Pelodiscus sinensis: one gene and its partner. The protein of the gene in region 1 purifies or fractionates together with the protein of each later gene. This does not show direct contact. Links are inferred from orthologs where the notes say so. Each region holds a gene or a part of one and is shown on either strand. Other genes may lie near its edges. The genes, in order: EIF4B and EIF3A.

Evidence for each region.
Region 2: the proteins of EIF4B (region 1) and EIF3A purify together in Homo sapiens (co-immunoprecipitation; 3 studies listed by BioGRID and IntAct, with this or other methods). This does not show direct contact. The link is inferred for Pelodiscus sinensis from reciprocal best matches to the Homo sapiens genes EIF4B and EIF3A.

Annotation. Positions count from the first base shown.
Region 1 is NW_027465874.1:249,073-264,398, reverse strand, and holds the start of EIF4B (eukaryotic translation initiation factor 4B), read left to right. Parts: upstream 1-8,345; 5' UTR 8,346-8,467; coding exon 8,468-8,486; intron 8,487-12,157; coding exon 12,158-12,298; intron 12,299-13,260; coding exon 13,261-13,469; intron 13,470-15,326. UniProt on the Homo sapiens protein: Required for the binding of mRNA to ribosomes. Functions in close association with EIF4-F and EIF4-A. Binds near the 5'-terminal cap of mRNA in presence of EIF-4F and ATP.
Region 2 is NC_134718.1:59,141,213-59,156,761, forward strand, and holds the start of EIF3A (eukaryotic translation initiation factor 3 subunit A), read left to right. Parts: upstream 1-8,975; 5' UTR 8,976-9,085; coding exon 9,086-9,134; intron 9,135-15,549. Other genes in the region: DENND10 (DENN domain-containing protein 10), read right to left, coding at 367-563, 3,879-3,924. UniProt on the Homo sapiens protein: RNA-binding component of the eukaryotic translation initiation factor 3 (eIF-3) complex, which is required for several steps in the initiation of protein synthesis.

The DNA of each region.
Region 1 (15,326 bases):
CCTGTTACTGCTTCTCCCTCCTCGCTAAGCAGTGGGCCTACCCTGTCCTTGGTCTTCCTCTTGCTTTTAATGTATTTATAAAAGGTCTTCTTGTTTCCCTTTATGCCTGTAGCTAGTTTGATCTCATTTTGTGCCTTTGCCTTTCTAATCTTGCCCCTGCATTCCCGTGTTGCTTGCCTATATTCATCCTTTGTTAGTTGTCCTAGTTTCCATTTTTTATATGACTCCTTTTTTATTTTGAGATCATGCAAGATCTCCTTGTTAAGCCAAGCTGGTCTTTTGCCATATTTTCTATCTTTCCTACACAGCAGAATTGTTTGCTTTTGGGCCCTTAACAACGTCCCTTTGAAATACTTCCAACTCTCCTCAGTTGTTTTTCCCTTCAGTCTTGCTTCCCATGGGACCTTACCTACAAGTTCTCTGAGCTTATCAAAATCTGCCTTCCTGAAATCCATAACCTCAATTGTGCTGGTCTCCCTTCTACCTTTCCTTAAGATCATGAACTCTATTATTTCATGATCACTGTCCCCCATACTGTCTTCCACTTTCAAGTTCTCAACTAGTTCCTCCCTATTTGTTAAAACCAAATCCAGAACAGCTTCTCCTCTGGTAGCTTCTTCAACCTTCTGAAACAGAAAGTTGTCTCCAATGCAGTCCAGAAACTTATTGGATAGCCTGTGCCTCGCTGTGTTAGTTTCCCAACATATGTCTGGATAGTTGAAGTCCCCCATCACCACCAAATCTTGGGCTTTGGATAGTTTTGTTAATTGTTTAAAAAAGGCCTCATCCACCTCTTCCACCTGGCTAGGTGGCCTGTAGTAGACTCCTAGCATGATATCACCCTCGTTTTTTACCCCTTTTAGCTTAACCCAGAGACTCTCTACACAGCTATCTCCTACGTTCATCTCCACTTCAGTCCAATATGTTGCACTCTAATTTGCATTTCCTCTTCCTTTCTGAATTCTGGTCATCTGAAGAAGTGGGCTGCGCCCACGAAAGCTCATGATACCGTCTACATGTTTTGTTAGTCTATAAAGTGCTACCAGAGCATTTGTTGTTTTTAAGTTTACCCTGTACAGACCAACTCGCTACCCCCTGAAGCTTCTTATCCTGATGTAAGCATGGTTTTCTTTGCTTTAGCTTCAATCCTATCCCATGTGGTATAAATTAGACAGAAAAGCCCACTCATAGGTGAATAAGAGTGTCCACATAAGAGGAGGTGATTGATGACAGTGCAGTATGATTGAACAGTATAATAGGAAAAACTTTCCTGTGTAGACAAAGCCATGGCTAGTTACAGAGCACCAGTGAACAGCTGGAAATAAACATGTTCCTTGCTCCTCTCAGTCAGCCCTCACCACACTGTGCCCATAAACGGCCAAGTACCCCAGAGGTGGCAGCTCTGCAGTGTCCTGGAGATGTGGAGCATGATCCGCCTGTGGTCTTTCAGGAGGGCTCAGCACTCTGAACACACTGCACCTCACATGCCACCCTAATCTCTCTGTCGTCCGGTCCCTCCCGGAATTCTCCCCACCCACACTCTCTGCCCTCCCGGGAACTCTCCCCACCCCCACTTTCTGCCCCTTGGGAACTCTCCCCACCCCCACTCTCTGTCCCCTTCCTCCGGGAACTCTCCCCACCCCCACTCTCTGTCCCCTTCCTCCGGGAACTCTCCCCACCCCCACTCTCTGTCCCCTTCCTCCGGGAACTCTCCCCAGCCCCACTCTCTGCCCCCCCCCGGGGAACTCTCCCCAGCCCCACTCTCTGCCCTCCCGGGGAACTCTCCCCAGCCCCACTCTCTGCCCCCCCGGGGAACTCTCCCCAGCCCCACTCTCTGCCCTCCCGGGAACTCTCCCCAACTCCACTCTCTGCCTCCCACCCCCCGCTGGGAACTCTCCACCCCTTGGGAACTCTCCCCACCCCCACTCTCTGTCCCCTTCCTCCGGGAACTCTCCCCAGCCCCACTCTCTGCCCCCTCGGGGAACTGTCCCCAGCCCCACTCTCTGCCCTCGGGGAACTCTCCCCACCCCCACTCTCTGTCCCCTTCCTCCGGGAACTCTCCCCAGCCCCACTCTCTGCCCCCTCGGGGAACTCTCCCCACCCCCACTCTCTGTCCCCTTCCTCCGGGAACTCTCCCCAGCCCCACTCTCTGCCCCCTCGGGGAACTCTCCCCAGCCCCACTCTCTGCCCTCCCGGGGAACTCTCCCCAGCCCCACTCTCTGCCCCCCCGGGGAACTCTCCCCAGCCCCACTCTCTGCCCTCCCGGGAACTCTCCCCAACTCCACTCTCTGCCTCCCACCCCCCGCTGGGAACTCTCCGCACCCCCACTCTCTGTCCCCTTCCTCCAGGAACTCTCCCCAGCCCCACTCTCTGCCCCCCCGGGGAACTCTCCCCACCCCCACTCTCTGCCCCTTGGGAACTCTCCCCAGCCCCACTCTCTGCCCCCCCCCGGGAACTCCCCCCACCCCCACTCTCTGCCCTCCCGGGAACTCTCCCCAGCCCCACTCTCTGCCCCCCCCCGGGAACTCTCCCCAGCCCCACTCTCTGCCCCCCTCCTCCGGGAACTCCCCCCACCCCCACTCTCTGCCCCCCCCCGGGAACTCTCCCCAACCCCACTCTCTGCCCCTTGGGAACTCTCCCCAGCCCCACTCTCTGCCCCCTCCTCCGGGAACTCCCCCCACCCCCACTCTCTGCCCCCCCCGGGAACTCTCCCCAACCCCACTCTCTGCCCCCCCCGGGAACTCTCCCCACTCCCCCCCATTCACTACTGCCCCGATAGCCGAGGGCGGGGCTCTAGGGACGGGGGCATGGTTGCCCGGGGGGCCGAATACTACAGACAGCCCCCCAAGCCGGGCAATTCCAGCCCCTTCTTGGCATCAGCAAATCGAGAGCGTGCGGCGATGCTCAGCGAAGAATACTTCTCCCGGCCGCGACCCGCGGCTTTAACCGCAGCGCCTGGAACCGCAGAAACAACCAGGCTACCTCCTCCGGGGCCCCGCCCGTTCGGAAGGAGGGCTTTGGCCTCGCTATAGTCACGTGACGGCCCCATCCGGGTCCTTTGCCTTCTCTCCCTCTGCCCAACATGGCGGCTTCAGGTGAGTGGTGCTCGGCGGCCTGCGGGCCCTTGAAGCCTGAGCCGGGCCTGGATCCCTTCTCCGGCCCTGGAGCTCCACCCGCTTCCTCGGCCCGGGCCGCCCCTCGCCCTTTCTGGCCCGGGGAAGACGGGGGGAGCACGCGCCTGTCTCCTCCCATGAGGGATCGCGCGCGCGCGCGCGCCACCCACCTCTCCCCTCAGGTTTCTCCAGCGCGCGCAGCGTCCCCCCAGCCATTCGAGGCAGGAGCGCGCGCCGTGGCTCGGAACGTTCCATCCCGCAACGCGCGCGCCATCCTGCCGTGAGTGGGGTGGGGTGGGAGAGTTGCGGGGGGGTGGCTCGCGCCGGCGGTGATTGACGGGAAAGGGAGGGAGGAGGGGAGCCAGATGGAACCTTCAACCGCGCGTCTGCGCAAGCGCGGGGATTGGCTGGGGGTGGGAGCGGACTCGGAGAGAGGAAGAAGGAGCCTGAGTGGCACCCACGTGGGGGCGCGTGGAACAGGGGTCTCCGGAGTAAGAGGCCTGTTTCCTCAGCGCGCCACGTGGGAGTCCCCTCTGCTGCGTCATTGCCCGAACGGGCGGGCTGTCCCTTATTCCCCCGTATATCTGCGGCCTGCGCCCAGGGCTGAGTGTCGTCATCCCTGCCCCCGAGGATGCCGTAGGGAGGGAGAGGCAGCCCTGCCTGCGGGAGGCATGGTTTGTATCTCTGCTCTGCCCCTCTCCCGGGAGCTGGCACCCCCCAAGAACACGTCTTTGGCGCCCTCCCGTTACAGCACACTTCCTTTTGCTCTGTACAGTTCTCCTTCTGCCTGCCCTCAGCAGGAATTGCTTGCTGTCCCAGCTCTCTTGCCCACCTTCCCTTGAGTAGCCGGGATGCAGTGCCCTTCCACTGCAGGAAATGGGGGGTTGGGCCCTGCTGTACTGCCTCTTCGCTCCAGGAAAATGGGATTGAAATTGGCTCCTTTATCTCAGAAGTACATGGCTCCCCTCCCTTTCCAGGTTTGCAGTCTGCTTTGTATTTCTTGGAGCGTAAGGACAGGATGGAATCCCTGAAAGGTTGAGGAAGGCATTCCAGCAATTTTTTCCCCTTCAGAATAAGATGTGAGAGTTGATCTAAACTGTAAGGGCTTTCTCTGCTTTTGAGATTGAATCACCTCTCTGGATGATAAACAGTCTCTGCCTTAGCTGAATTTCTGTTACTCTCTTACTCTGGGCTGTGACTTTTATATGCCTTTGAAATGCGCCAGACTGCACCATCATCTGCAGGTGTTATCCAAAAAATAACCTGGAAGATTGCATACCCTTCACTCTCCTAATAGGGCTCTTCTTTCTAACCATATGAACCCAACACCCCAGGCACTTTATTGCAAGTGATCCCTTTGAAGCAACTCTTCAGCAAAGACTGTTCCTTCTTAAAAACCTGGAGCTAAAGGCCTATTTGTTTGGGTATGGAAAGCTCCTTTATTTAAGTCTTGTCATGTCTTGAGCAATGAAATTCCCATTAATTTTTGTGCAGAATAGCTTTACTCGGTTGGACTCTTCCTGGCACCCAGCTAGTATTGCTTCATTAAGAACTGTAGCATCTGTAGCTATTGTGTTTAGGGTTGTACTGAAGCTTTTAAAATAAACTCTGACTTCTGTCTCTTAGCTCGTTGTTTACACTTCTGATTACAAAAAGGAGTCCTGTGACACCTTAACTTAAAAGGTTTATTTGGGCATAAGCTTTCGTGGGCAAAGACAGACTTCATCAGATGCATGCTGTAAGACTCCTCATTGTTTTTGTAGATACAGACTAGTGTGGCTACACCTGTCATACTTCTGATAACAGTAACAGCAAAAGTCCTAGCTGTATCACAGGTCATTGGTGCTAATTCCTGTGCAGATCTGTGGAGAAAAGGAGGTAAAATCTGTGTTCTGCATTTTTGCATAAGTTGCTACAGTGTTTGACATTTAGAAAAGGCCAAAGCATCACTATAACTGTTCAGGCAGTTTTCTTAACTCACTTTCGCTCTGGATTGAGTACTTTTTCACCTCTTTCTAAGTTAAGTACATATAATCACATGTACCCCATATGAATTGCAGTGACTGCTCTTGCTGTCCAACTGAAATGTCAAGGGATATGCATCAGGACAGCAATTAAGGAAAACTGAAAACTTTTGAATTTGCAAATGCCATTTTGAGTTCCATCAGAAGAACTGTATGGTCCCATATTTCACAGCAGAATGTTTGAGGCAGACATACCTGCCTTTTCCCTATGGCTACGTCTACACTGGCCCCTTTTCCGGAAGGGGCATGTTAATTTCAGCGATCGCAATAGGGAAATCCGCGGGGGATTTAAATATCCCCCGCGGCATTTAAATAAAAATGTCCGCCGCTTTTTTCCGGCTTTTAGAAAAGCTGGAAAAGAGCGTCTACACTGGCCCCGATCCTCCGGAAAAAGCGCCCTTTTCCGGAGGATCTTATTCCTACTTCAAAGTAGGAATAAGATCCTCTGGAAAAGGGCGCTTTTTCCGGAGGATCGGGGCCAGTGTAGACGCTCTTTTCCGGCCTTTCCCTATTGCGATCGCTGAAATTAACATGCCCCTTCCGGAAAAGGGGCCAGTGTAGACGTAGCCTCCGTGTTTGCACAAGCATGTCTGTAGCTGGCTAGAACCTGAGCCCATGATGTGGTGATGCAGCCCAAAAACAGAATAATTTTTTGGAGTTTAAGGATAAGGGACAGTGGTTGATGAAACACAGATTTCTTTTAGCTACATTATATACAATACAGTATACTAATTCCTTAGTTTCACACTTGCCTGGGTAACTTTTAATGGGATAAGTTTAAGAAAGACTACCATTTCATCATATCAAAAGTTAAGCAATTAGGTTTTATGCCTAGGCTGATCAGATTTCCCAATGGTTTTACAAAGCTGCATTAATAAAAGTTAATGCTCTGTACTTTAAAATGTAGACTTTGTAGCAACTGTCTGTACATATCTGAATGGCTGATAATATTTCAATAAGCTACATTTGAGTCTAGTAGTGGCATTTGATTTTTGTTTGTATATAGCAGCTGGGGAAACTCCAATTCCAGTTGTAGATGTTAAGAAAATGTTCTTGAAGGGCTTGGCACTCCCAGGTATAACTGGTAGCTTCTGCTCATATTAAGGAGGCAGCTGGTGCTGGCTGTTGGTAATTCATAAATGGCAAGAAAGAGCTTCTTTTGTCCAACTGGCTTTCCCTACATTGTTCTGTCAGCCATATGAGGTTTCCACAGGTTCAGTGATGCATAAGCAGCACTGTGTTCAACTACAGAAGTTGCTTCATACTGTTAGCTCCTGCCTGTGACTTGTCAGCCATTTGATGAAATTGAGCCAACAGCCAGCCTGCAGGTTTTATGAATGCAGCGTCTGCTCTAGTTAGCAGTGTTTTTGCTGTCATTTAGTAACCAATCATTGACAGCAAGTAAATATTCTTGGGTGGTGGGAATGTACATGAAACACACCTTCAGCCACCTTCTTTCTGAACAACACTTGCCAGCAGGAGGGCGCTTAAATGACATTTTTCAAGGCAGTGACTGCAGTGTGTTGCTGATGATGATCTGCTAGTTCTTTGTGTGATGCCATGAGATTACCCCTGGCAAACTGAACTTCAACCCTCATAAAGGAGTAATCCTATTTTAATTCTTAACCCTTGTACATTCCAATGTCATAGCAATTAGTTCTTAAAGGTTAGCTAGATTCTCTGATTGTCCCCATTTGCAAGAACTCTTCCAACCTCTGCTTGCTGTGCTCAGCAGTAGCATTCCCATTCATGATAAAAACATGAATCCTGAGCATTTTGCAGAAAGGGGAGTCTGTGGAGTCTTCTCAATTTCTTCTACATCAGGAGGGTCCCCTTATACATCATGAGACCTTTACTCCTGAGGTTTTCTGGAGGGTTTCAAAGCTGCACAAGTAGCATATAGATTTTGTATCACCACCTTTAAAATAATTACTTTTTGTAAACTGAGTGGTTTATACAGTGTCTGAACTTCTAAAGCTCCCCTAGGGCAGACAATTCTCATTTTGATTTAATTCTCTGTGGTGTTGTTTTAATCACTGATGAAGCCATAGTTGACGTAGTGCTTAGAAGTCTTGTTACAGTACTGAATTAAATGTGTGACAAGAATTGAAAAGGTAGAGCAGAAGGCAACCAGAATGAAAAGAGATTTGAAAAGGTAAGTTTTCAGTAAAATGGAATTCTGGCCGTATCACTTGAGTAACCAGAGAAGAAAGAAGCAATAATCTGTCTTTGTACTCAAATAATTCCAGCAAATTGTATGGACTCTCCACTAAGCATTTTTCTGACACATTTTAGGTAAAGGGCATTATTCCTTAAATAGCTGTTCTAGGTAGAATGCAAAATGGGGTGTCCCTGTGATCAAATGTTAGCTACAAGTCTTGTTCTTGTTCAGTATAGGCTGTGTAGATTCCTCTGACTTCTCTGGAAGATTGAGGGTATGTCTACGCTAGAAATGCCAGAGTGGTGCAGCTGCAATGGCATAGAGCAGATTCTACTGCAACAGAAAAAACCTATCCATTGCAGTTGTAAATCCACCTGTTCCTGAAGGAAGAATTCCTCTGCCAGCCTAGTGGTATCTACACCTGGACTGAGGCTGACTAAATTACATCGCACAAGGCCTGAAATTTCATAGCCCTGAGTGATGTAGTTAAGCCAATCTAACTTGTAGTATTGACCAGCCCTGAGTGCTATTGAGGGGCTCTGGAAAAGACAGTATGGCTTAGTGGGGCTCAGCTGGGACTTTGAGTATGAGTTTCATTCATGGCTGTGACCTTGGGGAAGTTGCTTTCTCTATCAGTTTCCTCACCTGTAAAATTGGAATGATGATACTGACTTCCTTTATAAAGAGCTTTGAGATCTACTGATAGAAAGCATGGGGTAAGCTCTCTGCCAGGAGGCTAGTAATTACAGAACAAACTTTATGGATGGTGGAGCAAAATGGGGAATAGAAGATCTATCATCTTTGTTATAGTCCTCGCATCTCAAAATTCTTCCTGACTCTAGGAACTGAGTCTGACAGCCCTACAGTCTTATTAACTGGAGCTCCTTGGAACTCAACCTGAAGGATTTTTGTTGCTTTCTGTTCCCATCTTGCTTGAGGTCAAAACTGCTTCAAGAATTTTTTTTCTCCTCTTCCTAGCCATGAAGCCAAATCTGTGATTTCACAGTTGCTTCCATGGCAACAGAATGAGGTAGTTAATAATAATAAAAAAGGACCATGGGGCTTTGCTCCAGGATTTAGACTCTAGGGTGGGCAGGGGGTAGGAAAGTGAGAAGGACAGCAGTTCAAACAAATGCCATGTATCTTTGTTCAGGATCTGCCCAGTTACAATGCAGGCAGCAGAAGAAAGTAAGTAAACTTATTTGAAGCTGCTGCTTCATACTGAGCTGCCTGGGAGGGTGTGAGAAGTGCCTTGTTGTCAAACTTAATTTCTGAAGAAAATATGCTGCTGTGAGCAGTGTAGTCTTTTAATGTTGTGAGAAGCTCTCAATGAGCTACTGCTCGAGGAAGGGGAGAAAACTTAGGTAGTGCTGAATTCCTTTAGTATGCCATTAGGAGAAGCTGAGCAGATTACAGAGAAATAGATTTCTTGGGAGCTACTGGAGGAGAAAGTCATGCCAAGACCTATTCCCATTAGAAAATACCAAGCAATCTTCAACCCTGGGCAGAACAGACAGAAGGAGATGGGAGCAGAATGAAGGGGAAGGAATAGAAACAGAGCAAGTACCCCCCACCCCCTTTGTGTGATGCTGATTGCAATAGCCTACCCTGGATCTTGTGAAATGCCATTGATATCCCTGTGGCCCTAACTTTATGGTCACATTACCCTCTCACCAATGTTACACCATTCCAACTCAATGACATTCCTTCCTAACACTTGACTGAAGGAGTAATCTAGCCCACTTAGTACAGATACCTTGTGTGCCTGCCTGTGAAGATGGGGCCCAATGGCATCCTTGTACCCCAGGCTCTGTAAGGCATGCAGAAGGGTCACTAAAGGCTGAAGATCAAAGACAGAACATCCTCAGGGAGCTAATAGAAACCAAAGGAGAGCAGCCATGGATTCTGCAGTAACAGTACTTCTGTCATCCCACATTGCTAAGTTTATTAATGCTGAAAATCTCTTCTGCCTACTGTGTAGATTTAAGCCAGCCATGATATGGAAACTCTATTAAAGGGCCATTCTTCAAGATGCTGAATGTACACTGAACATGGGTAATCTTGATCATGTGACATCTTTACTAACTCCATGAAAGGCATTGGTGATTTGGAAAGCTTTGTATCAGCGTAAGAAGTACTATAGTAATACCTACTGTGACCACCTAAGGGAGTTCTAAATTGACTGGTGGGGTGAGAGATGTCTAATGGTCTGGGCAGTAGAGTGCCCTGTTGTCATGTGGCAGTAATCGTTGTGACTTGCCCATGTTCAGAGTCTGCATTCTTTTGCACAGTTGGCAGCATGGTGGATGGGAGGCTGTGAAATTAATTGCTGCCAGGTTATTGGTCTGTAGGAGCTGAACTGTTGCTATCTTTCTTGTGATGGCAGCAGTTAACTGCAGACTAGTCAACTTTCCAATCTTGTGCTCTCTCCCCCCTTCCCCCCCCAGATGGTTAGAGAAGCAGCTGATAAGGTCTCTTTTGGTTGCATGTGATTATACTGTTCTGACAGCCCCACAGCAAGAAGTCTTCCAGTTTGTTTACTGAAGTTTAAACTAAAGGGAAGGTTTCTAGGAATGTCAAATTAGATTCAGAGCAAGCAAAAAAAAAATTACTGGACAAAAAGAATTGGCCTTGACTGTTGCGTTCTTAACTGTTCTGTACCTCTCCTGGATGTTGCTAGAAGATGCTTAGAATGAAGATCCTGTGGAGAGTATAGCTTAACATTTCTGTCATCAAGTCTGGGCTGTGTCTTTTCTGTAGGTATGCTTTGTTTCCCAGGGTATTTAGGTGTCCTATAGTACACAATGGCCCAGGTGTTGCAGCAGAGGGCTAAAATACAGGGGTGACCCTTCTTGCTATGCTACCGTCTGGATTGAGACCAATGGGGAATATAGGAATACAGAGTAAATCAGGTATGCTAAAGAGTGGGAAATAGGGTTGGGTGACAGGGGAAGGTATTATTAGACATTCAGTGTACAGCCAGAACGACTAGTGAGTCGTTCCCTGCTTGTTCTAAAGAGAATGCTAGACAAGAGCTGGCTTACTTGCAGTTGCGGAACAGATTTGAAAGCAAGTAAGATTTGTTCATGAAATGCATTTATTGAAAGGTACTGGTTGTCACAATACAGAGATCACTTCGTTCCTCTACGAGAATGTTGATAAGTGATCTGCATGAAATTCAGCAACATTTCTACAACCAGTACTAAAGATAAGGGCATACATTTTCAAAAGCCATCAATAGCTTTGGATGTTGAGCTTGAGATATTTGGAGGGGCCTGACTTTCAAAGATGTTTGGCATCCTTCTGCTAAAAATTGGGAACCTGTAAAATGTCTCAAGTTCAGCCCTCAAAATCACTAGGTGTTTCTGAAAACTGAGGCTAAAAGTTTATTAGAATTCCAGGTTTTAAAATGTCCAGTTCCGGGTAACTGTCTTCCATGGTTGGTCTTGGACCTAAAGTGGTATTTTGAAAGTTTAAGGAAATTGCTTACTAGTTTAGAGTCATATGCTGGTGAAAATGTTTTGGTTTTTTGCAACCACAGAAAAAATCTTTCCAGGTGGGTTAATATGTGAATGTGCGTATGGGTCAGTAAGGAATTATATCCTTACTTTTCAGATGTATAGCACAAATTTTCACTACATGTGTGTTGCTGTGTTAATTACCAACTAATACAAACTTGATCTCAGTATTACCGGTGTGTGGTTGTATGGTGATGTTTTATTGTACGTTTCCATAGTTCTGTGCATGTGGAAGTACCTGATTAGTGTTAGTCTCTTCTTCTTAATGTAAACAAAATAGAAGTTGTAGAGAGTGTACAGTTTTAAAACACAAGAAATGTAATCTGGACATTTTGCGGTTGACATCAAAGGCATTTGTCAACCTCCCAGGTATGCCTCCTGGGATGAGGCATACCTCGGAGGTCGACAAATGCCTTTGATGTCAACCGCGGAGTGTCCAGACTACCGCGCTGAGCCAACAAACAGCTGATCGGCTCAGTGCGGCTGCCATGTAAATTTAAATGAAGCGGCGATTATTTAAATCGCTGCTTCATTTTCCTATGCTGGGTAGTCTAATCTACATGCCTCTGTCGCCAGAGGCATGTAGTCTAGACGTACCCTAGGAGGGTGGTGAAGCACTGGAATGGGTTACCTAGGGAAGTAGTGGAGTCTCTACACCCTAGAGGTATTTAAGTCTCGGCTTGACAAAGCCCTGGCTGGGTTGATTTAGTTGGGATTGGTCCTGCCTAGAGTAGGGGGCTGGACTTGATGACCTTCTGAGGTCTCTTCCAGCTCTATGGTTCTATGATCTTAGCATTTTTAAATGCATTTCTCCTCACAGCCTCTGTGAGGCAAGGCATTGCTGTTGCCATGTTTTACAGAGGGTGTGAATCTCTTCATCTGGTCCCATATCAGCAGTGCGGTTATGTCACTGTAGCACAGTGGTGCTCAACTTTTTTTGATTCATGACCCCCAGCACTGGGAATATTTTGTTGCGGCCCCTTTCATTGAAAATGCTGGTCCACTCTCCTGCCACTCCCCCCCCCCCCCCCCCCCCCCCCCCCCCGCCACTGTGCGTATGTTGGGCACCGAGCCGGGAGAACAAAATGGTGGCTGGCCTAGCGCTGCAGCCCACCAGGAAGACATCTGCCCCCCACGGGTTGCACACCGCTGTTATAGTAGACTCTCCAAGAGGCAGTAGTACATTGACAGAAAGAAATACTTTTGCCTGTTCCTCCTGATCATGTAGGATGCCTGCCTCCATAGGCATTATATGAAGGGCAGTAACTCTTCCATTCCCTGCATTTATTGGAATTAATTGTGCCCCAGTGTTACTTATCTGTGTCTCCTTCACCTCTTTAGCAGCTAAGAAGAAGAACAAGAAGGGGAAAACCCTTACTCTGACGGACTTTCTGGCAGAAGATGGTGGCAGTGGTGGTGGAAGCACCTTTATTCCGAAACCAGTCAGCTGGGCCGACGAGACAGATGACCTGGAAGGAGATGGTAATTTGCTGCTAGCATTCCATCTCTTGTTGGATAATCTGTACCCTGTTGTGTTATGTTCCCAACAACTGTCTGGGTAGTTGAAGTCTCCCATCACCAAGTCCTGTGCTTTGAATGTTTTTGTTAGGTTTTGTTTTTTTAATGAAAAGCTTCATCTACTTCCTCTTCCCGATTAGGTAGTCTGTAGTAGACCCTACCATGCCATCACTCTTGGGTTTTTTCCCTTTTTATCCTTACCCAGAGATTTTCAACAGGTCTCTCACCGATTTCCATCTCAAACTTAGTTTAAATGTATACATTTTAAATATGTAAGGCAACACCTCCTTTTTTTCCTTTACTGTCCTTCCTGAGCAAGCTGTACCCCTCTATACTAATATTCCAGTCATGTGTATTAGCCCACCAAGTCTGCGATGCCAATGTGTTATAAGTGTGTTTATTTACTAGCATTATGAGTTCTTCCTGCTTATTCCCCACACTTCTTGAATTAGTATACAGACATCTAAGATTTAATTTTTTTTCCCCTCCTAGTTCTGTCTCTTATCCTTGCTATTACAGCTCATGCTGCCCCCAATTTCTGACCCTTCTCCAAGGTCTCCTATTAGCTTTGGTCACCTGGTTTCCCGTCAAACCTAGTTTAAAGCCATCCTGACTAGGTTAGCCAGTGTGTATCAAAATAAGCTCTTACCCTTCTTCGATAGGTGCACCCTATCTTTGTTTAGCAGTCCTTCTTTTGTTATGTGCTATAGAATGTTTGGGAGAAAGGTGCCCTACAATAGACAACAGAGTTGAGTTGTGGGATTCTTTATATTACTGAACACTTTTCTTGACCATCTTTAATGCCTCTATTTTACAACTAAGGGAGCTGCAAGTAAATTCAAACAATTGCAATGAAGAGGGGATGTGAGAAGCTCTGGGGGAACTTGTACATGGTCAAGACATGCTGAACAAAATTTCTCTTCTAGTTTCCACCACTTGGCATAGTAACGATGATGATGTGTATCGAGCCCCACCAATTGACCGGTCCATCCTACCCACCGCACCTCGGGCTGCTCGGGAACCCAATATAGACAGAAGCCGTCTCCCAAAGTCACCCCCCTACACTGCCTTTCTGGGAAACTTGCCGTATGATGTAACAGAGGAGTCCATCAAGGACTTCTTCAGAGGACTCAATGTGAGTATCTGTTGCGCATAATTTTAAGCTTTGGTGACATGGGGGCCACATAGCAGCAGTTGGCAGGCTGAATGTAACTTACGGCTTGTGGGATTCTCTCATCTGTTAAGCTCTCAGCCCTCCTGAAGAAGCTCATGATATTGTGCCAATTCTGTGACTGAAATGACTTGTCCCACATCACCCAAAAAGTGAATGGAGCTGGGAGTAAAGCCTATGATTTTCCTTGTAGGATCCCACTTCTTCATGGTTTGTGCCCTTGGTGCTCAGTCCTGTTACATTCTGAGGCCGTCTATATGTAAAATCCAGCTCAAGGAGATACACCCATGGTTGAGGTTGCATGCTAAAAAAATAGTGGAGATGTATGTAGCAGGAAAAGCTACCCACCCTAAGTGTATGCTTGTCTATCAGACTTTACTCTGAGGTGCCTAGCCCTTCCCGCTGCTGCTGCGTAGCTAACAAACTTGATCAGAGCTAATGTGCTTGCATCTCCCTGACCTGGGAATTGCACTTCCAGTTCAAAGGATAGACATACCCAGTGCCTTTTTGGTGATGGTACTGCCCGGTACTCAGTACCAGCACCTCCGTACGCAGTACCAGTACCTCCAGTCAGAACTTAACAACTTTTCCACTGGAGTACCAGCACTCTTTTTTAAACCAAAAAAAGCACTGGGACCCACTAAAGAGAATAAAGGTGTTCATTGCAAGCCATTCGTGGCTAAGAGCAGTTGAGACCACTTGTTCTAGCTTCTGCAAGCTGACTTCTAACAAGGCAAATATCTTTTTTTGAAGGTTTATTGCCTGAGCCCAGCATTACTATCTCCTGGCATTCTTATAGACTGTTTTGGGTTGTGTGTAGTCTGGTACTCAGAGTTCTCTTATTCCAGGGCTACTCAACACACAGGCCACATGTGGCCCGCGGTGCAGTTTGGGTTCACATGGGGTTTAACATACGGCCTGCGGGTGGGATCCTTTGAACATGGCCTCCACTGGGAACAGGTTCCATAATGGCGTGGTGTTTCCCAGGTAGGGTGAGCATTGAAAGACGCAAGTGGAAGGACTGGTTGAAACAGATGAGTACAAGGTGTCGGTGTTTCTAGCCCCATGGAGGAGCTTTTGGGAGTGCCGGGGTATTGTGGGAAGTGCTGGCTGCTTAGCTTTTTGGGCAGAACCTGAGAGGTGCTGACTGGCTCTCACTGGTTACATTTTGGCCCAGCGTGTGGCTGGGCAGCCCTGCTTCCCTTCTTCACGGAGCAACGGACTCTTGTGTGGAGATGTCAGCCCTGCTGGGAATCCAGAATGGGGATCCCGGGCACCTGTCCTTTTTTGCCTCTTGTGTCCGGCCTGACTTGCCCAGCTCCCCACCTGCCGCAGGTTTGGAGTGCTCTGGCTTGGAAACTTTTTTTTTTTTAACAGTAAAATCACTCCAAGAAACACACAGCCTGAAACTTCAAGCTGAACACCCAAAAAATTGGTATACAATTTTTTTTTAATAAGGCGCATTTAAAACGGCAGCAAAGAAGAGATGCTTGTTGGATGAACACAGGGTTTTCAACCCTGTTTGGGAGATGAAAAACCAATGTGCCATCTTTGTCAAAAGATTATCGCTGTGTTAAAACAAACCTGCAACAATGCCATGAATCTTGTCACCCTGAGTTCAAAGACTTGTATCTACCTGACAGCAATTTAAGAGAAACTAAGATACATTCCGTACTGGAAGTTTACTGTGGTCAACAAGATGTGTTCTGTTTGCCCTATAAAAACAGCAATGCTGTTACAGCCTCCTTCAAAATGGATTGGCATATAGCTAAATCGAAAAGACCTTTTACTGAAGGTGAATTGATGAAGCAGTGCTTCTTG
Region 2 (15,549 bases), on another chromosome or scaffold:
CAAAGGCAATTGCATCCACTTACTCAAGGGCTGCATATGTCCCCCTTTCTTTTTATCCAGCCACTTCCTTTTTTGCTGTTCATAGAAAGGCCAAATGGGGAGTGTATATTACACTTGTTTTGCATACACACAGAATACCAATCTTCTTCTTACTATATAGTTTAGAAATGTCTGGCTGGCTGGCTGTCCACCTGCGAGTGTTTGTTCAAGAAGTCCCTAAATAGTATGAGCTAAGACCAGCAAACTTGGTATGCAGCTTCCTCTTATCAAAATTTAAAGCAAGGTCAGGGTTTGGTTGTGCCAGGATAATGGGATGTGCATGGAATTCGACTGCTTTAGATCTCTTTATTGGTGATTTAGTCCCACCTTTTCCAAAACTGAAGAATCTTGAACTTCCACTGTTGTGATATAGAACCACGATCTTCTATACTGGCCAAATACAAAGGTGTGAAGCAATTTATTTTCATCTGTAAGGCAGCATTTTCTCAGCAACAGATCCCTCATTTCAGCTGTTGTGGAAGGATAACACCATACCCAGAGAGTATCTCCATTGGTGTCTTTTTCTATGGTGGAAAGATGTTCACTGTGAGAATGCCAAACAGCAGCAAGGAAGTAAATTGATTGGTTAATCAGATCCGTTTACTGGAATCGGCTTAACATCCCATTTTTATACTAACTACAGCACTACCCACTCATGCCTCAACTGTTAAAAGTTGTCTGTGAGTGCTTCTTTTATTAACTTTTATTTTCACATATTGTTGTAAAAGTCTGCTCTTGGCTAACTCCTGGCATGCAAAGTCCTAGGCAGGTGAGGCTTTTGAGTATGTAGAAAAGTAAGAATTTTTGTTTTCAAAGGTGCTATTCTCAGTTATGCAGCTCCTGCACACTTACTTAACTGACTCCAATGGAATTATTTAATTACTTGAAAATAAGCGTGAACAAAGTATTTTCAGAATCCTAACTTGCATAATTTAAAATCTCCATCATTCAAACTGTCACAATGCTTTGAAGTGGTAAAGCATCATTTAAGTATTAATTGTTCATTGTTAAACTAACAGACTTGTTTGGACTACATTATCAATATAGTTCTTAATTAACAATACTTTCACTTTGTATGCCAATAAAATTTTATAGTTATATGGCATCTATATGCTACAAAAGGGGCTATATTATAAATACTCAGACAGACTTCATTCCCAGATTCCATACTAACCACTAGGGATGTTAGAATTTAATCGATTAACCAGTTAAGCAATAAGATGATGCTTATCAGTTAATGTTATTGGTTAAACTCTGCCCTGCTCCCGGATGGCTTCACAGTGGCAGCAAAACCTCCTCCCCAGGAGCGGAGCCAGCAGCTGAGCTGTTTGCTCCTGCTGGTCCCACTCCGTGGGAGATGGCTGGTCACCCTGCTCTGGGGAAGGCTTTGCAATATGAAGCTTATTTAAGCTTTATACTACAGAGCCCACAGCACATGTAACCGCTAAGATTTTTAGCGGTTACATGGTTCCCTTATTAAACAACTTTTAACATCCCTACTAACCACATGCCAAATGTTGCCTTCAGATACCCCCCGCATATTCCCAATGGCTTGTATCAGAGGGCGGGCTCTGGCTTTTTACAGGAATCTTTTCCTCGCTAAGTGCTTTAAGATAAACTGACATAAATAATGAAAACAAGCAACACTTGGTCATTTATATGATTCTTTCCCACTAGTTAATCAATCCTAACTACACCCCAGAAAGGCAAAGATATGTTGTTAGTCCCATTTTTATCAGTGGCTAGTTAAATTTTGTGGGCAGTTTTGGAGTTTACATCTCAGTATAGAATCATATATTTGGCAGGAAAGGACCTCAAAAAGTCATCAAGTCCAGCCCCCTGAGCTGTGGTAGGGCCAACTGAACTTAGACAATATCTGATAGATGTTTGTACAACTTGTTTTTAAAAGTGTCCTATGATGGGGACTCAATGACTTTCCTTGGAAGCCTATTACAGGAATTAACTACCCTTATAGACAGAATGATTTTCTTAATATCTAACCTAAATCTCCCTTGCTCCATATTAAGACCATTATGTCTTGTCCTACCTTTAGTGAACATGGAGAACAATTGATCAGTGTGTCTTTTATAATAGCCCTTAACATATTGGAAGACTGTTATCAGGTTGTCTATCAGTTTTTGCTCAAGACTACACCTCTTTAGTTTTTCCAACTCTTCTTCATCAGTCAGATTTTCTACATCTTTCATTATGTGTTGCTCTCCTCTGGACTTTTTCCATTTTGTCCACATCCTACCTAAATTGTGCTGCCCAGAAATGGGCACAGTACTCCACTGTTAAGTAGACAAGGACAATTATCTCCTGTATCTATTGTACACCACTTCTATTAATACATCTCAGAATCATATTAGCTTTTTTTCCAGCTATGTCATGAGTCATTGATGACTCATATTGAGTTTGTGGTCCACTAGAACTCCCAGAGTCTTTTCAGCAGCATTACCACCTATGCTAGGGGCGGGCAAATTACGAACCATGGGCTGTATCAAACCCCTCAGTTTTTTACTCCAGCTTTTGGGCACCAGGGCTGGAAGCTTGCTTGCCCTACTCTACTCATGTCTTAGCTGTGAACACATCCTGGAGACAGGGGCAGCCAGGGGTGTTGCACGCTGCCCCTGCCCCTGCCCCAAACTCCAGCTCTTCAGCTCCCATTGGCTGGAAACTACAGCCAATGGGAGCTACTAGGGTGGTACCTATGGATAAGGCAGTGGAATGGGAGTGGGAATAGGCTGCTGCTTCCTGGAGCTGCTTGAAGTAGACAACTCCCAAAGCCTGCACCCCTGAGTCCCTCTTGTACCCCAAGGCCCTCATCTTCAGCCCCAGAGACCTCATCCTCCCATTGAATCCCAATCTCATCCCAGCCCAGCCCTAATTCCCCTTCTGCATCTTAACCCCCCGTTCCAGCCCAAAGCCCCCTCCCGCACCTTGAACTTCTCATTTCTGGCCCCCCTTCCAGAGTCTGCTCCAACTAGAGCCCTAACCCAATCCCACACCCCAACTCCCAATTATGTGAGCATTCATGACCCACCATACAATTTCTGTACTGAGATAAGGCCCTCAGGCAAAAAAAAATTGCCCACCCCAAACTAGATGGTTTGCTGTTGTGTATTTGATTTTTTTCCTAAGTGAACTATTTTGAACTTGTCTTTATTTAATTTCATCCTGTTGGAACTAAGACCAAATTTTCAAAGTCACTTTGAATTTAAAACCTGTCCTCCAAAGTGCTTGCAACCCCTCCCAGCTTGGTGTCATCTGCAATAAGCCTACTCTCCACTCCATTAGCCAAGTCATCAAATGTAAACATCCCATAGGACCCAGAACGAAACCCTGTGGGGACCCCCCTTCCGACAGTCTCTCAATTTATCAGCAAGCCACTGATTACCCTTTGAGTGTGATCTTTCAACCACTTGAGCACTTACAGCCATTTCATCTAGACATTTCCCCAATTTGCTTATGAGAACTTCATACAGAACTGTGTCAAAAGCCATGCCAAAGATAGGGAAAGTTGGCAAAAGAGGAACAGTTCCCCTTCCCCCCGCGGGTTGGTTACAGCCCCCGCACGTGAAGGAGAAGGGGTAGGGGTGCACCTCAAAGAGTGGGGACTGTTTGACAGGTGCTGCCCTCACCGCCCTGGGCACTGAGGGCCACTGAACCACACGGCGAAGTCTGAATACGCTGGAAACCACTTTCAAGGCAGGGGGTGGGGCAGCACGTCTGCTCCCACTGGCACAAGGGCCCCACCCTCCATTGAAGGGGCAGGAGCCTGGCAAGAAGCTGGAGTCCGGGCTCTGCAAGGGGCGAAGGGGGCGGGGGGGTCGCCTTACCGATCAGCCCCACGCCTAGCAGCTGCTGAATCTCCGGCTCTGCCATCTTCCCGCCGTCCGGCTCCACTCGCCTCCCTGCCCGGCCAGAGCGCACCAGGCGCGGCCCGGCCTTCTCCCCCGCTTCCCGGATCCCCTGCCGCTGCCGCCGCCGCCGCCTGAGCGCCCAGGCCCGGCCCCGCCTCACTCCGGCTCCGCCCGCTGCCTCGGCCCCGCCTTCGGCGCTGGGCCCGGCCCCGCTGTTTCCCCGCCTCCCAGGCCCACATAGGACGCGGGCTCGGCCTCTCAGCTGCCCTGGGAGACCAGTGAGGCGGCAGGCGCCGGGCTTGCCGCAGCAGCAAGCCGAGCCGGGCTTCGCCCCGCTCCTCGGGCCCCTCCGGCGGGCCTGGCTTCCCCCCAACCCGGTCTCGCTCTGGGCGGTCTGGTCTCCCCACCCCGCGTCGTTTTCCTGGCGCTCCTCCCTTCATTCGTGATAGAAATGTAGCCGTGTTAGTCTGGTGTAGCTGAAACAAAATACAGGACAATGTAGCACTTGAAAGACTAACACGATGGTTTATTAGATGATGAGCTTTCGTGGGCCAGACCCACTATTTGATCTGAGGTAGTGAAGTGGGTCTGGCCCACGAAAGCTCATCATCTAATAAACCATCTTGTTAGGCTTTCAAGTGCTACATAGTCCTGGATTTTGTTTCTCAGTTCATTCGGCCTCGCCCCTGACTCCCTCTGCCCTGACTCCCTCTGCGTGGCCTCACCACCCCTAGATCTTTTGGATGGCTCCCCCTTTCCTGCTTACGCCTCTGGGGGTCTCTCCCCTGTGTGATTTCCCCCCTATGGCTCACTGAATGATTGATTTTTTTGGTTTGATGGCTGAAGTGAACAATCTGAATAAATAAATGAAATCGGTTATTTTCCAAGTGAAACATTTTTTCCCACCAGTTGCCAAAATGCAGAACTGAAAGCATTTTAGGCAGGCTGACTGCAACTTTTCGCATGTCCTTCTGAAACAGTGTTTTAAAACAAAACAGTGAGGTTTGAAGCAAAATGTTGAAATAAAATGTTGGCCCGACAGGACATTTGCAAAATGAAATGATTCATTTAAAAGCAAAATGTCAAAATGGTTGATTTAAAAAATGTCAAATGAACTTTTTTCTTTTCTTAATAATAATTCTTAACATTGTTCAAAACTACATATTTCAACTAATTTACTGTATGATCAAAAAGTTTGCCCAGTTCTATTGCACACCCTGAGCTGCACCAGAACTCCACTTATGTTTAATGGTGAACTGTCAACGTGTTTTGATGTTTACTTAGGGTGGGTTTCTTTCCTCAGTTACTCTTCTGATGTGTGTGCATGTGTGGGGGGCAGCATTTCACATTCTTAAAGCCTTCTTCTCCATGACTAAGTGAATGTCCATCTCATTACCTTTCCGATCTATTTTCAAGTAAAAGTTAAAAACTATCTTTTTTACTTTTGACTGTCCTGAATTTTTCTCTTTTTCTGTTTGTTTTAACTTTGTAACTATGTGTATTATTTAACCCTGTGAATCATTGCTGGGTATAGTTATATGCAAACTGTTATACAGAATACAATTACATTGCTTAGAAGTCTTACTTATTATCAATTACTTTTATTACAGTTACATCCAAAGGCTACAAACAGAATCTGGGTCAGGAGTATTTGGCATTATACAAACACATACAATGATCCTGCAAAGTCTGCATGCAATTAAGCACATGGATAAATGTAGGATTGGGGCCTACCAGTTTTCTTCTGTTTTGAGTACCTCTTCACTAGATTGTGTGGAAAGCATAGTAAAACTCTCATAAAAGTAAAAGTAAAAAGATTGATCTTGTTTACCTCAGAAAGGGCACGTGTAAGAGAGAGCACGACAAAAGTATATAAAATAATGAAAGGAAGTAGATTGGGAATCAATGTTTTCCCTTTTTCATACTTCAGGAACAAGGGGACATTCAGTGAAATTAAAAGCTGGTAAATTCAAAACTGATTAAATAGTTTTTTACATGATATGTAATTAGACTGAAGAACTCAACCTGCAGGAAGCTGTTATAAAAATTCAGAGCAGGTTTGGATATGAATAAGAATATCTGAAGTTATAATTAATTATAACAAAAATGGAAGGAAAATTAAACTTGGAGCTTCAAGGTTTATGTCAGTCTCTAACCATAGAGGATAAGGTAGAAGCCTATCCCACACCTGTCTATTTTGGGGTTCTTACACCTTCCACTGACCTACCTACTACTGACCATTGCCAGAGATAAGATACTGGACTACATGAAATGCAGAATGACAATTCTTATGTTTTATCTGATTCTTTCTTGATAGTGTGGGTACGAGGTGGAGAAAGGGAAAGAAAATATTTCTAGTACAGTCACAATGCTTATCAGAAACATTCCATTCCACACCCAGCCTGCTCTTCTTGCTATTAACAGAAACAAGTATTTATTTCTGGTAAAATAACAATTGGAGTGAGTGCAAGGTGCCTCTGGGCTCTCACCCTATTATTAAACCACCATTTGAAATATATTATTCAGGTTGCATTGTAATTGTTTTGAGACTTTATATGTGTTTTTGTGGCTGCACAATATTGAAACAATAAGAAAACATAAGAAACCAACAATTATCAATAAAGTAAAAATTCCATTGAAATATAACAAAACAATAATAAATTGTCTCATTGCCACTGTAAATTGCCAGATTTCAGACCCAAGTCTTCCCTTTACTATATGTTCTATATAGTTCTGTAAAATCACATGTGCTCATGTTCAGGGATGCTAGTGCTGGAAGTAGGATTGTGAGCAACTAGTCAACTATCTGATAAGCAAAATGGACTGTAAGGTGGATAGAAAACTGGCTAAATTGTTGGGCCCAACAGGAAGTGATCAACAGCTCAATGTCTGGTTGGTGGTCAGTTTCAAGTGGCGTGCCCCAAGGATTGGTTCTAGGGCTGGTTTTGTTCAACATCTTTATCAATAACCTGGATGAGGGGATGGATAACACCCTTGGCAAGTTTGCAGATGACACTAAGCTAGGGGGAAGAGGTAGATATGTTACAGGGTAGAGATAGGGTCCAGAGTGACCTAGACAGATTAGGGGATTGGGCCAAAAGAAATCAGATGAGGTTCAACAAGGACAAGTGCAGAGTTGCACGCTTGGGACAGAAGAATCCCAAGCACTGTTACAGGGTGGGGGCAAAGTGGCTTAGCAGCAGTGCCGCACAAAAGGACCTGGGGATAACAGTGGATGGGAAGCTGAATACGAGTCAACAGTGTGCCCTTGTAGCCAAGAAGTCTAATTGCATAGGACACTAAACTACAAGAAGCTCTGGGAGACAGACCCATAGTCTCCTATAGACAACCACCTAACCTCAAGATGATTCTTACCAACAACCACAGGACATACCACACTAATACCAACCCTGATACTTTCCCTTGCAACAAACCCCGCTGCCAGCTTTGTCCACATATTCACTCTGCTGACACCATTATTGGGCCTAACCAAGTGAGTTATAAGATCAAGAATACATATTCCTGCGCCTCCAGAAATATAATCTATGCTATCATGTGCTGAAAGTGTCCGTCTGCTATGTACATTGGACAAACGTCTCAGACACTTCGCCAAAGAATCAATGCCCACAAAACAGACATTAGACAGGATCACAAAGAAAAAACAGTTGCTTGTCATTTCAACAAGAAAGGACACTGTCTGAATGACCTGCTAACCTGCATCCTACTTCAGAAGACATTCAAATCTGCACTTGAAAGGGAATCCTCTGAACTGGCATTCATGCTAAAATTCGACACTCTCCACAGAGGAATTAACAAAGACATCTTACCCATTACAAAGATAGCTTCCCCAATTATCACCTCTTAAACTATTAACTCACAGACATCTTCCTTTCCCCACCTCTAATATCATTAACTCACTGGCATTCACCTTCCTTCCCCCCCCCCCCACATCTCCCTTCTGTTCTGTAATGTGATTTGTCCTTTTCATGTGTGTTCACTTTTTTTTTTAAATTGTATCCTTTGGTATATATGGTTGTGACTATTTTCTTCCATTATTTGATCTGAGGAAGTGGGTCTGGCCCACGAAAGCTCATCATCTAATAAACCATCTTGTTAGTTTTTAAAGTGCTACATAGTCCTGTATTTTGTTTCAGCTACACCAGACTAACACGGCTACATTTCTATCACTAATTGCATATTAGGGTGCATTAGGAAGAGTATTTCCAGCAGATCTAGAGAAGTGATTATTCACTTTTATTCGGCACTGGTGAGGCCACATCTAAAGTATTGCATTCCGTTCTGGGCTGCCCACTATAGAAAGGATGTGGATGCATTGGAGAGGGTCTAGCAGAGGGCAACCAAAATAATTAGGGGTCTGGAGCACAGGACCCATGAGGAGAGGCTAAGGGATTTGGGCTTGTTTAGTTGGCAGAAAAGAGTGAGTGGGGATTTGCTAGCAGCCTTCAACTTCCTGAAGGGAGGCTTCAGAGAGGATGTTCTCAGTAGTGACAGATGGCAGAGCAAGAAGCAATTGTCTCAAGTTACAGTGGGGAGGTCTAGGTTGGATATTAGGAAAAACTCTCTCACTAGAAGGATGGTGAAGCACTGGATTGGGTCACTTAATATGGTGGAATCTCCATCTCTAGAGATTTTTAAGTCCCAGCTTGACAAAGCTCTGGCTGAATGGTTTAGTTAGGGTTGGTCCTGCTTTGGACCAGATGACCTGAGGTCTCTTCCAGCCCCAGGAGTCTATGGTAAGGTGCTCTTTACATGTGCACTGAATTATTCCTTTAGGAAAGGTCCTGCAGCACCTTTAGTGCCTGCAACACACCCTCTCCATCACCCAGCCAGGCTTGTCCCTTACAGGGGTCACAGGTCGCGCATTGCTACCATGGGGACAGAGGATTCGAACCGACACCTGCCGAAGCTCTTACTGCCTGGCGCTAACCCCTCCACCACGGGCTACTAGGCGAATGCAGCGCTGCATGCCGGGACGGATCGCTACACCCCAGCCTCCCGCTTCCCCCTCCCTCTCGGGGAAGGAGGGGTTTCCGCTTCTGGACACGTCGGTGCGCGTGGGTCACGTGGCGCGCTCCCTTTCCGGCCCAGCAGGCTGCCTGTCTGGGCGCACGCAGCCGCCCGCCGCCGCCCCGTGAGGAGACGCCGCTGCCCCCGCCGCCATCATGCCGGTGTATTTCCAGCGGCCCGAGAATGCCCTGAAGCGGGCGAACGGTGAGTGCGGGCGGGACCCGCGCCCGCCCCGCTCCCCTGCCTGGCGCCGGGTGGCGAAGGGCCGGGCCTAGGCCCAGCCGCGGCCCGGCGCAGGGACCATCGCCCGGGCAGGCCGCGGCAGGACCCGTCCCAGGCGCGGAGGATCCGGGGGCGGGAAGGGGGGGGGGCGTTTTCAGCATTTCCCCGTCTTGGGCCTCGCTCCCGGCAGCCGCGGCAGTCGCCGCCTCAGCGGGGCCATGTGGCGCGGGCGGGACGAGCGTGACAATGAGCCCTCGCGCCTGCCCGGCGCTGCCCGCGGCCGATTTGCAGCGGAGCCGCCTCGGGCCCGCAGCTGCCCGGGTTTTGTGCAGCGCGGAGCAGGCTGCGCCGGCCCTCAGCCCGATCCCGTGTAAACGCGGCCTCTCACGCGGCGGCATTGCACGGACTGTCCCCCACTGCGGCTGCCTCTGCTGAAGCGAAGGGAAGTTGGCAGCTATTGTCCAGCACTCTGCGTGGCACCAGGCGGAAGGCAGGTCAAGGGCACCCCTTCCCCCCTCTATTTTTCTGTGTTGAAGCAGCCTCTTGAACCATGAATCCGCAATCAGACTGTGTTGTACTGTGTGCTCCGCGGGCAGGCGCGCAGCCCTCAATCAAATGTCATTAGGGTGTGACAAAACGCTGCCAGATGGATGAAATAAACCAATGGGATGAGGCTTCAATGAAATGGGCAAGGTGCTGTACATCACTCTGACCTCTGCCTAGCCAGTTGATAAACTGAAGTGTAGGACAAAGTGTAGGACACTTCATTTGCATGCACTTGTCCTGAGGCATCTGTCATGATATTTTTAATCTTGATGCAGAGTGAACAGAGCTTTTTTTATTAAAGGTCTTGTCTGAGAGACATCTTCACAGTACATTCTAGAATTCTCTCGATATTTTTGGCTGAATCAGGCCTGCTACAATTTGAGATGTTTATGCAGTCATCTACTTTCCTCATAGTGTTCTTTGCAGGTCCCATGTTTAACAGCCCACCCCTAGTTAACTGATCTTATTTTATAGACAGTAAAATGTCAGTTTTTTATTTAATGTATAAATAATATCCTAGGACAAATGCAGACTAGGGATGTGAACCAGTAGTTGACTGTCTGATAAACACATGCTTATAGGATAGTCAGCACAGTAATAGACTAGTCATTCTTCCCCCTTGCTGTCTCTATCAGAAAGAGGAAGCAAGGGGGAGAAATATGGGGGACAGCTGAGGAGTCCCCAAGCTGCACGTGGTGTTTCAAAGCAGCAGCAATACGTGGAGCCCAGGATCAGCTGGGGACTCCCCTGCTGACCCTGGGCTCCACACAGTGCTACCGCTTTCAAATGCTGCGGGAAGCATGGAGCCAGTGGGGGACTGCCCCACTGGTTCCGTGCTCCCTCCAGCACCTTTGCGTTTAAAGTGTAGCAACAGCTCTGGGACCGCTTCTACACTTCAGAGGCGGAGGCACCCATATTGACTAATCAAATATGCAATTTGCATCGACTATTGGATTACTCAATTAATTGAAATTTAACATTCCTAATGCGCACAGGGTTTTAAAGCAAATATCACTAAGGACTGCTGCTGAAGTATCCCTTACCAGCTTCCAAGAGTAAAGCCTGACTGGCTGTGGGTATCAACAAACTCCTGCCAAATTGAATATGCAGACTTAACATTTTTTATGTTCAGTGTAACCTGTTTTAAATAGCCAGCAAAACTATCTAACAGAGATGATGTCTGTCTAAGGCTCTGATAATACTAGATGCGCTGTGTGTGAAAACAGCACAAAGTTTTATTGGATGGCATGTGGGTTCGATGTGCCACACTAGTTTGTAATTTGAAGACGGTCCTGAGTACAGATTTCTCTGTCAACTTAATAATGAAGGTTGGAATTGTCAAAAGCCCCTAATGGAGTAGGACACCTGATTCTTAGCCTTTTCGGATGGGATTTTCAAAGAAGGCTATCTTCCCTCCAAAACAATGATTATACAGTAGTCTTTAAGAGTGTGTCTAGACTATAGGGTTTTGTTGACAAAAGTGGACTTTTTTGACAAAACTAAACCTGCGTCTACACTACCGCTGAGTTCTGTCGACATAACGTCAGCAGAACTCAGCAGTTTTGTTGACGCTGGTAAACCTCATTTTACGAGGAATAACGCCTTTTGTCGATGGAGTTCTGTCGACAGAAGATGTTATTGCATCTACACCGTCCTTTGCGTCTACACTGCCATGTCGACAAAGCAGCGTGCTTTGTCAACAGAACTGAATGTAGTCTAGACGCTCTTTGTTGACAGAAGCTATTTACAAAAGCCTGTAGTCTAGACGTACCCTGAATTACATCGGTCTGACAAACTACCCATGTTCTGTATTTCCTACTCTCAGCATACGCAGGTAGGTCAGCCTTCGTCATTCACCTGATGACAGAGTGCATAAGCACCTCATAAGATTTTGAAAGCACATCACAAATATTAATTAAACTTAACAATTTTCGTTGTTTTGATTTTTATGGTACTTCACACAAATTAAATGATACTTAATTTAAGATTTAAATCAATATTTATAGGATTGTCATGGTGAAATAAGCCGAATAAATGATCTTTGTAACTCCATGGTATGGGGGAAAAGAAGATCTGATGTTTGTATTTTGTATGCAATGTATTGAAAAGAGGTGGTTGCATTTTATATTTGGTTCCATTTCTGAATGAGCAATACATATAGCCTTTCATAGATAATGTTCCAGTCATCTGATCTTGCAGAAACAAAGGCACAGATAATTGTAACGATCTATGTAAAAAAAGGATAGTTTTCCTGTTTAGTAACAGATGGGGTAAAAGTCACACATGGCCACTGCCATTCATTTGTTTTTTCCTGTCCACTTGCACAGTGAAAACTCTGTCCAGGCACTCACATCTTAGTTACTGAAACATCCTTTGCTTTAATTTTAACAAATACAGTCTCACCTCATTCAGAACGCTGTGCAAATATAATTTTCCTAGCCTGTTTCTTAGACCATATCACTCTATTTGAATCCCTCTACTGGTATCCCTTATGAAATGTAAGCTGCTTCACTTCATTTTCAAAATCTTTCAAAACTTATGCAGGCTCTACATATTGTGTCTCATGCACTAGCAAAATGACAACTCCCACTTCTGATTCATCAGTGATGTCAGATACCATCACCGACTTTTAAATATTCAAATAGTTACCTTTGTGCTTTCTCTCATGCTGCCCCATATGCTTTTGAACAGCTTTCTGTACACACCCTCATAGCTATTCTATTCTTCTTCAGATCTCTCCTTAAAACTCTTCTTTGTCATAGTGCCTACAAAAATTTGACCACGGTTAGACCACTGGTGTATCAAGATGTGGGATGTGAAATCTAGTGACGTGAAAGAATAGTCAACTATACAATTAACTGTCAACCCTAGGTTAATTGTTTAATCTAGTCAACTACTTGCATCCCCTTTACTATGCTGCCTCTGGGAGGAGGGGAGGAAGGGAAGCAGGAGCTAATGCTGGAGGGATCTGACTTAAAAGCCAGTTTCCCGCTAGCACTAGCTCCACAGTGCTGCCTGTTTCCCTCTCCCCACCAACTGCTGCCTTTATCAGAGACAGCAGTACAGTGAGGGGCTTAGGGGAAGCTGCCACAAAACAGCCCCTGCCTGCAGTGGGCCCAGGCTCACCACAGACAGGCTGGTGCTCAGCAGCAGCCCCAGTCTGCAGGAGGTCCAAGCTCCCCTCTGGAGCAGCCTCTGTCCATGGAGAGCTTAGACTTCCTGTGAACAGGGGCTGCTGCCACCCTGCTCTGTATCAGAGGCAACAGTGCAAAGTGGCAGGATGCTGCCCAGGAGTGGGGCTGGAGCACATTGTCTGCTAGCCCTGGGAATATAGAATAGTCGACTAACCGCTAAGAATTCATGTGGTTAGTTGACCATTCTACTACCCGTGATCTAACATCCCTAGTAAAATCCTATTTAATCAGTTAACCGGTTAAACGTTAGACTTAACCGATTAAGCAGGATCCAGGCCAAGGACCACTCCAGCCCAGCTGGCATTGGTTCCAGCCCACAGGGCACTGCTGGCCATGGCCCCAGCCTGTTGGGCCTTATCTGTCCACCTGTTTTGTTTTACATGATGATTCTAAATTCTTTTGGGAAGGGGTTGTCTTTTTTATTTACACAGTGTCTTTCGCAGTGAACTCATGGCCTGTGACGGGATCCCAGACACTGTGGCAATACAAATATTTAATAATAATCGGAGAACTGATAAATGGCCAAAGATTTACTATAGTTTCTGTGTTGCATATAGTGGACATGCTCCCTCAGTGAAGCGTGTTGCCCAGCTTTTAAAAACAGAAGAATGGCCATTCTGGGTCAAACCAATGGTCTAGCCCAGTGTCTTTTCTTCTTATAGAGGGCAATGCCAGAATCTTCAGAAAGAATTAATAGAACAGGCAGTCATTGATTGATCTATCCTTGCCCCACACATTTACCTAATTCTTAATTGAACTAGGCATATATGTGAGTAGTTGACTACAGGATAAGCGTAGGCTTATCAGGTAGTTGAGATGACTACTTGCATTCCTCCCCACACCTTGCTGCCTCTATATCAGAAGGAGGGGGGAGCAAGAGCTGGTACTGAGGGGAGCCAGCTTAAAAACCGGTTCCCGCCAGCGCTGTCTCCGCTGTGCCGCCTCCCCCTTTTTTCAGAGGCAGCAGCATGTGGGGAGTGGGGAAAGGAACAGAGGAGGCTGCCATGAAGCAGCCTCTGCCCACGATGGGCCTAGGCTCCATTCATGGTGGCTGGGGCTGGCTGCAGCTGGAGCAGCCCTGACCATAGGGCCTTCCATAGTGAGAGCCCCTGCAGACACTGGCTACTGGACCTGGCGTGAATTGAGACTGAGAAAGCCTGGCTCAGTCGCACCTCGTGCTGAGTCCAGGAGCTGGACCTGCTGTAACTCTGCAGTTTAAATGTAGTATGAGCCAAGCTGCCTGCCCGTCTGGTTCTTATGACATTTAAACTGCAGAACCGCAGTGGGGGGTATCTCCTGAAGGCTTCCTCTCTTATTGACTAATTGTGTAGTTGCTAGAAATTCTATCGACTACACATTTTTCTATTTACTCACTTCCTAACATCCCTAAATTAAACACAAGTATACTTTTGCTGTTCACAGCGTCCCTGGCAAAGAATTCCACAGATTAAGTGGTGTATGAAGAAATACTTGCTTATGTTTGTTTTAAATCTGCTGCCCATTAATTCACTTGAGTGATTTCTGCTTCTTTTTTATTTAAAATAGTAAATACTCACTTTTTCCACACCATTTATCATTTTGTAGATTTCTGTCATATCCTCTTTGAGTTTTTTCCAAGTTAAAAAGTCTGTTCTTTTTAATCTCTTCTCATTTGGAAGCTGTTCCTTATGGGTGAGGCTCACCACTTCTGGTTAACTTTTGGGGGCTGGAGCAGCTCCTTGCCCTCCTTGGGGCTAGTCCAGCCGGAGCAGCCCCTGTCTGAGGCGGGTGGGAGGGAGGCTCCAGTCCAGCCTTTAAAAGGCTGGTGCACAGCAGGGGGACCCTGCACTAGTCAAGAATCAGCCATCCCAGTTTATACTGGGTCCCTCCTGCTGTGCTTTAGCCTTTAAAATGTATTAAGAGCCAACAGACTCTTAATACATTTAAAAGGCTGGTGCGCAGTGGGGCAACCTGGTTTGAGCTAGGAGTCAGCTGTTCTGGCTCGTGCCATGTCCCCCTGCTGCGCTTCTGGGACTGGGTGCAAGCCGGGAATCAGCTGATTCCCGGCTTGTGCCCGATCCCCACTTCCTTCCCTGGGCCTGCAGAGACAGTGCTGGGGAGAACTGGCTTTTAAGCCAGCTTCCCCCAGCACTGGCTCCTGTTCCCTCTCTTGCTGTTTCTGATAGAGGCAGCAAGGGTGGGGGAGAGTGACTAATCAAGGACTAGTCCATTATAAGCTTTTGCTTATCTGATAGTCAACTAGACACTTACATCCCAAATCTGCAGATTTTGCCACCTTAATGTTTATCTCTTTTTCCAGATCATTTATGAATATGATGAATAGCACTGGTCCCAGCACAGTGGGGACATTGCTATTTACTTCTTTCCTTTTGAAAACTGATCCTTTATGCCTACTCTTTGTTTCCTATCTTTTAATCAGTTACTGATCCATGAAAGATTCTTCCCTCTTGCCCCATGATTGCATACTTGTCTAAGAATCTTTGGTGAGGAACTTTGTCAAAGACTTTCTGAAAGTTCAGGTACACCGTATCCACTGAACTATCATTCTGTGTTTGTTGACACTCTGAAAGAATTCTAATACAGTAAAACTCCAATGGTCCGGCATCTGACAGTCCGGCACTCCTGATGGTCCGGCACCATCAGGAACCCGGAAGTGC